Linked DNA regions of Arabidopsis thaliana. The protein of the gene in region 1 interacts with the protein of each later gene in a pairwise test. Each region holds a gene or a part of one and is shown on either strand. Other genes may lie near its edges. The genes, in order: LOG2, GDU5 and GDU4.

The links.
Region 2: the proteins of LOG2 (region 1) and GDU5 interact in a two-hybrid assay, tested with the Arabidopsis thaliana proteins (2 studies listed by BioGRID).
Region 3: the proteins of LOG2 (region 1) and GDU4 interact in a two-hybrid assay, tested with the Arabidopsis thaliana proteins (2 studies listed by BioGRID).

Annotation. Positions count from the first base shown.
Region 1 is NC_003074.8:2,995,543-2,999,876, reverse strand, and holds LOG2 (RING/U-box superfamily protein), read left to right. Parts: upstream 1-1,621; 5' UTR 1,622-2,041; coding exon 2,042-2,544; intron 2,545-2,725; coding exon 2,726-3,233; coding exon of another isoform or gene 3,234-3,248; exon of another isoform or gene 3,249-3,319; coding exon 3,320-3,475; 3' UTR 3,476-3,698; downstream 3,699-4,334. UniProt on the Arabidopsis thaliana protein: Acts as an E3 ubiquitin-protein ligase, or as part of E3 complex, which accepts ubiquitin from specific E2 ubiquitin-conjugating enzymes and then transfers it to substrates (in vitro).
Region 2 is NC_003076.8:8,582,858-8,585,850, forward strand, and holds GDU5 (glutamine dumper 5), read left to right. Parts: upstream 1-1,677; 5' UTR 1,678-1,807; coding exon 1,808-2,203; 3' UTR 2,204-2,440; downstream 2,441-2,993. UniProt on the Arabidopsis thaliana protein: Probable subunit of an amino acid transporter involved in the regulation of the amino acid metabolism. Stimulates amino acid export by activating nonselective amino acid facilitators.
Region 3 is NC_003071.7:10,557,234-10,560,743, forward strand, and holds GDU4 (glutamine dumper 4), read left to right. Parts: upstream 1-1,939; 5' UTR 1,940-2,245; coding exon 2,246-2,716; 3' UTR 2,717-3,006; downstream 3,007-3,510. UniProt on the Arabidopsis thaliana protein: Probable subunit of an amino acid transporter involved in the regulation of the amino acid metabolism. Stimulates amino acid export by activating nonselective amino acid facilitators.

The DNA.
Region 1 (4,334 bases):
CATATGTATATTACATTAGTGTTCCAAGAAGATGCTACGTTCGACGTCATATTTGTTATCCTGTAAATTATAACAAAGATGCATCAACATTCAACAGAGAACAAAGTTTAGTTTTTATATATATATATATGTCACGATCATAGGTCTACATAACTATAAATTGATACAATTGATTTTACAGATTTTACACAACATATGTATCCAACTTGATGATATATCCGGTCTGCCGTTTCCCACTATATATAGAGTATTTTATAATTGATTCCCATTTATTTTTCTTAGTTTATATATGTTCGTCTTTTGGAATTGCTTAATGAAAGTGTGTGCGAGTGGTTAGGTATGCGATTCTATTATGTCTCTTTATTTATTTTTGATTTCGAATCGCACCACTACCTTCGTATGGGAATGTTTCAATATGATATCTATCTGTATATGATCACGAATATAATTTGATTTTGATCAAAATCAACATGTAATATAATTTCACGTAATATCAAACATCCAATAGTTACAGTTTAATCTGGCTACTGAATATATATATATATATATATATATATCTTCCTTTGAAAGAATGTTTATATATTTTTATTCTTTGTGACGTTTTTTTTAGCTAATGGTGATCTCTTGACTCTAAATTCATACAAATTTTTTAAAAAATTAGCTTAGGGTTTTGAAAATATAAAAACTCTTTTAGGGCTTATGTTTTCTTTTTGGTCAACGGAGCTTATGCTTTTGTAGAAACACTAATTTTTAAGACATTAAAGTATACATCAGTTTTGTTTTGTGTTTTGGGTTAAACTTATACACAATTATTCAAAGACGACAAAACAAGTTTAAATATGAATTCCAAAATACCAGTTCATCTTTTCGGACTACTGTATATAAGAATATTATGTTGGCAAAAAGTAGGTTTATTATAGGTTAAAAATAAAAATAAAGTATAGCCTACTTTGTTAGGAATACATATTAAACTTCACACTAATTACTAGTAGATATTTAGGCAATATAAGTCTAGAAGCGGAAAGTAGACAATGCCTATTGCCTAGTATACATTTCGGACAGCACAAGTGACTTTTAACTCTTTAATCACACAGAAGACAGAACTATGCAATGATCGACAACTTCTTCACTCTGTAAAATATTTGGATTTCTCAATTAATGGTTTCTGAAAATAACATCATCTTTTTAAAGCATGAACAAATTAATCCTAATGTAGACCTAAATAAAAATCTTAAGACCATCTTTATCAGTAAAAACAAGGAAAGATTCTAAAAAAAAATAAAAATAATATTTTAATTAAAACAGATACATTAATTATTATTTAATAATTGAATTAATAGTATGATGACACTTGTCCAAATTGGATGAGAATAGTTTCTCAAAGTTTCTCGGAAGAGAAATTCAACTCTCCTTCTCTTCTACTTTTTTTTCCTTCTATCATACTTTTTCTTCTTTAATTATTTTTTTTTTTTATTGGGTATCTTATTGAGATACTTCAAATGGAGATGCTCTAATAATTAATGGGAATGTGTTTCTAATTAAAAAGATAACATCTTTCTTTCTATATTTTTGTCGTCATATAACACACCTCAACTCTTTTAAGTACTCGTGTTGAATTTTGTTTTTTGAAAAGACAAAACTCCTTATAATCAACGTAATTATTAATAACAAGGAGAAAAAAAGTCCAAAGAAAAAAAAAAGAAAGCTTTTTGGGAACATAAACACCATCGAAGGAGGGTGGGAGGTGTTTTATGTTCATGGGTGGAGCTTCTTGGCCAACCTGACCCCATTCATCATATCATTACCCACTTTCTTCTCCTAAATTATTCTCTCTTATCTCTCTCTCTCTCTTTTTATTTTCTTTCTTTCTTAATTCATCTAAACTCTCTCTGCTTTTGCTTTTCGTAATTCCTTACATTTCACTCAATATTAATCCCCAGAATCTCCGATCCACCCACAAATTTAGCAATTTTCTGAGATTTGATCATTTGGGTCACCAAAAAATCTTGTCTTTTTGATCTGGGTTTAACGCCAATAACATATGGGAAACATTAGCAGCAGCGGTGGTGAAGGTAGACGCCGTCGACGGCGAAACCATACGGCGGCTCCACCACCACCTCCTCCTCCTCCTTCTTCTTCTCTTCCTCCACCACCTCTACCTACAGAAATCCAAGCTAATCCCATCGTTTTCGCTGCCGTTACTCCCTATCCTAATCCTAATCCTAATCCGGTTTACCAGTACCCTGCTTCTTACTACCACCATCCTCCCCCGGGAGCCATGCCTCTTCCGCCGTACGACCACCACCTCCAACATCATCCACCGCATCCTTACCACAACCACTCTTGGGCTCCCGTGGCGATGGCCAGATACCCTTATGCTGGTCACATGATGGCTCAACCGACTCCTTACGTTGAACACCAGAAAGCCGTCACGATTCGTAACGACGTTAATCTCAAGAAGGAGTCTCTTAGGCTTGAACCCGACCCGGATAATCCGGGTCGCTTTCTCGTCTCCTTTACGTTTGATGCAACCGTCTCCGGAAGGTAGATTTCACTTTCTCCCTTTCGTTGATTTCGTGATCCATTTGAGCAGATAACACGTGAATTTTGTTGTGTTCTTCCTCGTGACTATGTAATTTGGATCTTCTTATTGCAATTTGATCAAATCTTCTTCATGTGTAATTGAATTAAGCTTATGTTATTATGTTGGACTTGTGAAAAATAGGATTAGTGTCATTTTCTTTGCTAAAGAATCCGAAGATTGCAAACTCACAGCGACAAAGGAAGATATACTGCCACCTATCACTCTAGATTTCGAGAAAGGACTTGGTCAGAAGTTTAAACAATCATCTGGTTCTGGTATAGACTTTTCGGTCTTTGAGGACGTTGAGCTGTTCAAAGCGGCCGCAGACACAGAGATCTATCCATTAGCGGTTAAGGCAGAAGCAGCTCCCTCAGGTGGTGAGAATGAAGAAGAAGAAAGGTCGGGGTCGAAGAATGCGCAGATTACTCAAGCGGTTTATGAGAAGGATAAAGGAGAGATTAAGATTAGAGTGGTGAAGCAGATACTATGGGTTAATGGAACGAGATATGAGTTGCAGGAGATTTATGGGATTGGGAATACAGTTGAGGGGGATGATGATTCAGCTGATGATGCTAATGATCCTGGTAAAGAATGTGTTATATGTTTGTCTGAACCACGAGACACCACTGTTCTTCCATGTCGACATATGGTAAGTGAAAGCTGATGATTTACTACTATTATGTGATGATGGACATATATATAGATGTTAAAAATTGTTTGGGTTTGGTGGTGCAGTGTATGTGTAGCGGATGTGCTAAGGTATTGAGGTTTCAGACAAATCGATGCCCCATTTGCAGGCAACCTGTTGAAAGGCTTTTGGAGATAAAAGTTCACGGTAACAACGGAAGCGGGAATAACACCGGACAGGGAGAAACAGTTGAACAAGAGTAGCTAAACACGGCCGAGTATGGATTGAAATGCCATCGAAATATTAGTAGTATATGCATGTTTGATCCTTGTATGTTAACAACAAAATGTGTGATTGTCAATTCATAATATAGAGATTACGAAATCATTTGGAGTCATAATGACACAATACTTGAAACATTCTTCATTAGATACAACAACAAAGTAGGCAGTTTCTTACTTAGCTAGTTGCTCAACCGGAAGTTGCAGTGGCAGGTGAAGCCATTTTAGTTGCAATAAGACAGAAACTTAAACATGGAAAACACGAGATATAGTAGCGGCAACATGACATTCAATTATATAGCTGACCCCTTCGTTTCTTATTTAAAAGGGGCAATCTCCAACGTTTTGTGGTCAAATGGGCCTGCATTTCTTTTTATCCGCCTCTACTATTGGGCCCTAAGCCCGAGTTTTCCGGTTTCGTAAACAATAGGTTCATCATACTTGTGTAATTTCAATGTTTTGGAAAATTCGGTTCACAGCTTCGTTAAAACATCAATCATCTCATATCTGTGACTCGTAGTTTGGTTAAAAAATGATCCCAAAAAAGAGAGAGACAGATCCAAAAAATCATCTCATATCTGTGTCTCTCTCTTTGTTTAAATTTAAAATGCTTGCCGTAGACAAAACATACAAATACGAGGCTGTAATAAACAAGTATTTAATATAATAATAAGGACAAATAAACGGACCAAATTTAGGCCGAGAAAATGGGACATTGTGATATAATCTCAAAAAGAATTGAAATTTGTATGATCGATCAGATATCTCAATTTCAGGAACCCAGAAAGAGGGACTTGTCTTTTACCTCCAAAGGGTTCCTGCCGTTTCTTTTCTACAATTT
Region 2 (2,993 bases), on another chromosome or scaffold:
TTCGATAATTTATGAAGTAAACTCTCAAATTTCGGATATTACAACACATATGAATAAAAACATTACTCATAACTCATAAGTGAGTAAGAAAAATAACATAATCCAAGAATAAGAGCTAATCCATCTTATGGTTCACTAGACATAGTTTATTCATTTAGAGATTGTAGATATATGGTTTATATTAATGTTCAAATATTAATCTAACAATTTTGGCAATCGACATGATTAAAAAATGAAATATATTCTCTTCCAACTATGGATACAAATAAAATCTATGGATTGTTGTTGTGGAATATTAAAAAGTAAACCCATATATAATTTACTGTTAACGGCAAACATCATTATCCAAATAGCACCATCGAAAAGACACATATCCCTGGCTTAGCGTAATAACAAATGGCCATGTGAAATTCATGGGCCCGAATAAAACACAAAGCTGGGCCCTCTTAATATTCCTAAATCCAAATAATCATATAATTATGTTTTCTGTTTGTCTCTCCCAAATATGATGTCGATAAAATTATAAGGGTTCGAATAGTTGCGCCAGTTAGGACGAACCAATTCATTTCCAATTCATTTCCGGTTTATACTACTTTTCTTTAGTATTTATGAACTATAATTTGTTGTCGTGTAAAAAATAGAACAAGTATGCGGCAAACTAACTATAGATTGTTTTTACGTAGAAAAAAAGCTTGATTTACATCAGTTTATTGTCCGTTCCAAAAATAGAAAACATTTCTCTGCTTTTTTTTATTGCAATCATTCAAAACCTAAATTTATAATCATTTATAACACCAAGAACATATATAAATCATCTTCACTCATAAAACATAAACAAACTACTCTACTTACAATATGCATAACCTCCACTAAATATATATGCATCCACAATTTACAAAATCATCATGTGGAAATTATCTCATACTTTAGTGTAATGGTTTTAACTGTTATATCACTTATAAGAAATCAGCTTAAAATTACTCGTATATGGGGCTTGTAGACTACCTTAAACTCCAAAAAACTAGATTTTGAAGCTCTAAATTGATCAATTAAGATGTATAGTTGGCCACTCTTTCAGCTGATCGATCATGTATATATGAAACAAATCTACAACGAATAAGTAAAACAATATTGCTTGTTTTTCAAGACGCAATGGAATTCAAGAGATCAGTCAATTCTACTAATAAATAATTTTCTAAATAAACATGATAATTTATCTATTTTTGTAGTTGTCTTTTGTCAACAAATGTCATCTTCATAAATGATTTCTTTATCCAAAAAATCACAAATTCATTGCCATAAATAACATGGTAAGATCACATATTAAGTTGAACAAAAAAGGGATCACATTTTCAAATATCTACCTCATATTTTTTTTTGTTATAATTTCTGACACGAGGAGATTATGGAACTGTCTTTAACAAATAAAAAAAGGGATTACGGAATTGAGATCTTAAAGTTTGATTATCCAAAAAGGATTTTATAAACAAAAAAATCAAGGTATATATCTAAATGCAAAAACGTATGATTAAATATCTTCGAACCTGGTGCATGATCAAAGCAACGTAACGTATCATGAAGATTCCGTGACCCACTTACCTTCAATTTTGTTTTATAATAATATTGTGAAATATTTATTACATCTCTTCCCTCTATTGTTCTCTTCCAGTACTATAAATAAAATGTCAAACCACTCCAACAAAATCAAACTAGCTACACAGTTATAAAAAAAAAGTATAAGCTTCACAATTTTCAAGCTTCTTCTCCTCTGTTCTTTAACAAATCCAAGAATAAGAAATATAAAACAATGAGGCAATTTCCAAGCATAAGAGGAAACATAAATGAGAAGATGATGACAACAATGGTGGAGTCTCAGACACGGTCTCCGTGGCGTACACCGGTTCCTTACCTATTCGGTGGTTTAGCCGCCATGCTTGGACTCATAGCCTTTGCTCTCTTGTTGCTCGCCTGCTCCTACTGGAGGCTCTCGCGGCAGACAGAAGATGAAGAGAAACAGACGGAGTCCGGTGAGAAAGTGGTGGCTAAGGCTTTTGAGGAGAAGATTCTTGTGATCATGGCTGGACAAAACAACCCTACCTTCTTAGCCACTCCGGTCGCGGCCAAGATTTGCCTGGATTGTGTTAATATGGAGAAGAAAGAAGGACAAAATGGGGAATCTAAAGTAACAGAAGAAAACCACTGACTACTGAGCTCTGTTCTCAAGAGTGTACTTTTTTGGATTCTCTGTTTTTGTCGGTTTGTTTTTTGTTTGTTGGGGAAGTAGTTTTCCTCTGTTTTTGTCGACCTTGAGATTGTAAATTTTCATTAGAGTAGTAAATGTGAACAAAAAAGTTGAGAAATTTCGGGTTTCTATGTATAAATGTTGGTATATGAATATATTTTGCTAAATTAAAGGTATCAATGTGTCATTGTTTTGATCATTAATATTTCCAAATTAGTTTTGAGAGTATATCTATATCCTGCTATAGCTTAAAGATTTACTTGTAAAACTAAGAAGTTTAGCTACATTTTCATGGCCGAGTGGTTAGCACTCTAAGTTAGAGGAGCATATATTTGGCCAAGACCAGGGGAGTGATTTCCGTTCTGAACGTGTGAGCCATCACTGTGTCTACGTGACTACTGAAGACATCTTTACTGGTCAAAACACTTGATTTTTATTGGGTCCAAAATAAATCAAAATGACCCAAGTTAGCAAACAAAAAAAACAAAAAAAAATATTGTGTGATGGGAAATATGTAAACAAATGGAAGTTGATTTTTAGTTTATTTTGTAAAAGTTACATAATTTTAGTCATTTTTTATAAAATTAGAATGTTATTTTATCGGAGAGCTTTTTTTCCGAAAAGTTTTCTCTCTATACCAGCTCTTTTTCTCCTGGTCATTTTTTTCGACAAAATTGTGGCTCCGACTAACGTTCGTGGACTTCCAAAGCCACGACGTTGGTTCGGCTTAAGTTTTTAGGTTTGTTTTTTT
Region 3 (3,510 bases), on another chromosome or scaffold:
TCAAAAGTTTTCTTGACTAAAAAATGGACCGAGAGAAAACTACGCTATAAATTTGAAGGTTTGAACTCTTTATGTTTTTGACAAAAATAAGAACCCTTTATGTTCGGTAACTTCGATTAGTTAACTGGACTTCATTTAACTAGTTTAATTTCATTAGTCGATATAATTTTTCTGCCATTTTAATGGTATAAACGCCTATGTTTCAAGGGTAACAGAAAATAAGTATTAAGTTTTTCTCTTCTTTAGTTCGCAATGTGAATACATAGATGATTCCAAAATATGCTTTCTTATATATTTGTAAGAATTTAGTTTGAAAAACAGACATGGTCCTTTAAAATGGAACCTGTGAAAAAATATAAACTTAATTCTTTTAACAAAAAGAAAAGAAAAAGTTTATAACATTTGGGGCACAAATTTGCACCTGATCACTACATTTTAATATGATGACAGCTTTATGGATTATTGAGGTAGTGCACCTGGTGCACGGTAGTTGGTGTGATAGTAACAATTGGAAAAAAAAAAAAAAAAAAATCCCACATATGACTTTTATTTGCACTTTTGAAATTTTTTTTCTTTATTTTTCTTTTAAAAATATATTTTTAATATGTAAAATTACTAAATTAACTTTCTTAAATTAATAACAATTAATCAAAAACATATATATTTTAATATCAAATCAATTTATTTGTAATAATTAAAATAATTCAAAATATATATTTAGGGTAATAAATTTTTGAATTTGTTAGTCTTTTATAACTAACAATTCCAAATCTTTATTGCCCTAAATATGTTTTTCTAAACAATAATGACTAACAATATTCTACCGATATTAAGTCATGATTTTTTTTAAGCCATGTGTTATGGTGCAGATTTTAATATTCATTATTATTGTAAAACATTAAATAATTTACTTTGCAAAAAAAAAAGGAGAATTATTGAATTCAAGCAAAGTTTGGTGATATGTTAAGTTGAAAATTGTGTTTGGACTACTCGAGATTATTTTATTTTATATAAGTCCGATTGGTAACACAAAACTGTACAAAATTTTAGCTGTTAGCTATAACCAAAACTTTTTTTGGAATAGTGCAAAGTTGTACAAAAGAATTATACGAGAAAGCTGTACAGTAAAGTTAAGAGTAAAACTTTTTGTAATGTTTTTGATAAAGTTAATTTTTGCGAATGATAACTCTCAAAATAGTACAAGTTATATCGCTTTGAGAATGTGTTACCATTTAAAACCTATAACATGACAAATATTAAGTGATAGACTTTATAATACTTTTAGATATAGAAAAATTGAGAGATAGAAAATTTCTTCATCCAAAAAGAAAGAGAGAAGTTGGATTCCCAATTTGCGGGATCCCAAAAAAATAAAATCCCCATTAGGCATCATAGTGTGTCCTCACAAGAAGATAGATATCGTGCCATAAATTAGAACTGAGAGTAAGGGGTCTTGGAATCCATCTCTCACTCTCATTCCTCTGTCACTTCCAGAAACCAAACTATTCATCTATCTAAATTGATCTATTTGGCTTAAAGTATCTTAGAGTCATCAAGAGGAAACCCCTTGTCTTTCCAAAAACTTTCTCGATATCATGCTATCACTGACATATTATTGGATATAAGACTTATAAGTCTAATACCCAATTATTGTAGTTTGTGTAGTTGATTGATGTCAAAGTTCATATGGTTTCAAATTTATTGGTAAATATTATGATTGATATCCTTTTTTTGATTTTAAAAATCACCATTTATATATTTTTCAACAACCGTTAAGCAAAAATTTTAAACCAATCTGCGGTAGTTCTTGTAGGCATTTTTCAAGTTTTTTTTAGTGTAGTTTCTTAAAGATACTAAAATTTAATTTATCGTGTCTAGTTTAAATTTGTGTAATTAATGTTCGCTATCTTTCTTTAAAAAAACAAGCACCTTAACATATATATGTGTCTATAACAAAGTAAGTTTGAGTACATAATATTGCATGCAAATATATGCGGCAAAACTAAAAAGTAATAAACGGCAAATGAAAAAAAAAGCTGCTTTAATTCAAATAATTAAATATTCGGAGTGACTCACTTTCTTTTTCCCCAGGGACTTCTTACCTATAAATATAACACCTCACCACACCCATTGTTTCATTCATCTTTCCAGCTTTCTTCACTTTTTCCTTTATATAAAGTTAGAAAAACAAAAAAAACAAAATAGTTAGAAAAAATCTGAGAGAAACAGAAGAAACATAAAAAAAATGAGGCCATTGAGCATTAAACCAACATCGTTAGATGTAGCTAGACATGCCACATCAGTAGAATCATTTGGGAATCACCGACCGCCGATATCGCCGTGGCACTCACCGGTGCCGTACCTATTCGGTGGTCTTGCGGCGATGTTAGGCCTCATAGCCTTCGCTTTACTTATCCTAGCCTGCTCTTACTGGCGCTTGTCAACCTCCGGTGATGACTCCGGCGAAAGAGTCGACGAGGAAAAAGAGAGTCGGTCTGGAGTGAAGGCGGCTAGCGCGGCGTGCGAGGAGAAGGTTCTTGTCATAATGGCCGGAGATGACTTGCCGAGGTTTCTGGCCACGCCGGCGGCGAACAAATGCATGTGCGGTCACGAGGGTAGAATGGTAATTTTCAAGGAGGATGGTATTGGTGCTGGAGAGGAGAAAATGGGAGACAGAGAGAAAGCCAAAGAAAATGAAGAAACAACGAGTCAGTGAGCTTTTTTGTTTTCTTTTCTTCTCTCAGTCTTGTCTTTTTTTTTTTGTTGGGGAATTTTCCTTCGTGTTTTCACGGGAAATGTAAAATTTACTGAGAGAAAATTTTGGGTTATGATTAATGAATGTTTGCTTGTAATTTCCTATCCCCAATGGTGGAAAACTCGTTTTTAGTTTTTGTAATTCTCAAAAGTGTGATAGGTAACCTTTCTCATACAGCTTTAATACCAATCAGTAATAGAGTAAACTAAAACGGAATAACATAATAGTACTTAAAATTCTTACAATTTTATGTCATCACTAAGATCTACAAAAAAATGAATCATAGTATCATAACACTATGTTTGCCCAAAAAAAAAAAAAAAAGTATCATAACACTATTGATCATAAATTCAAAGCTTGCAATGTTTCGATGGAAACGTGATTCATCCCGTACACAAACTGTAATTTTATATACATTTTCAGAAACTAATGTAATGCATTAACCCTTTTGTATTACGTATATATTCTCACATTTTATATTTTGTAAGGAGATTCGTTTAGTTACTTTAATTATGAATTGTTATAATTGTGTCTCCTCCATGTATTTGTGTTACTTTCATATTTTCCTTGCATTTATATATTTTATTTACCATAGGATAGTTCTGAATTTGCTATCAACTTGGATATTTTAAATTAATTGAGACTCCATCTAGTTCACCGTCAAATTTTAACTATACTTGTTTAACTATACTTGTTATATAACGAGTGAATAAACTGGAAATAGTATTACTATTAACTATGAACTTACATTCGTA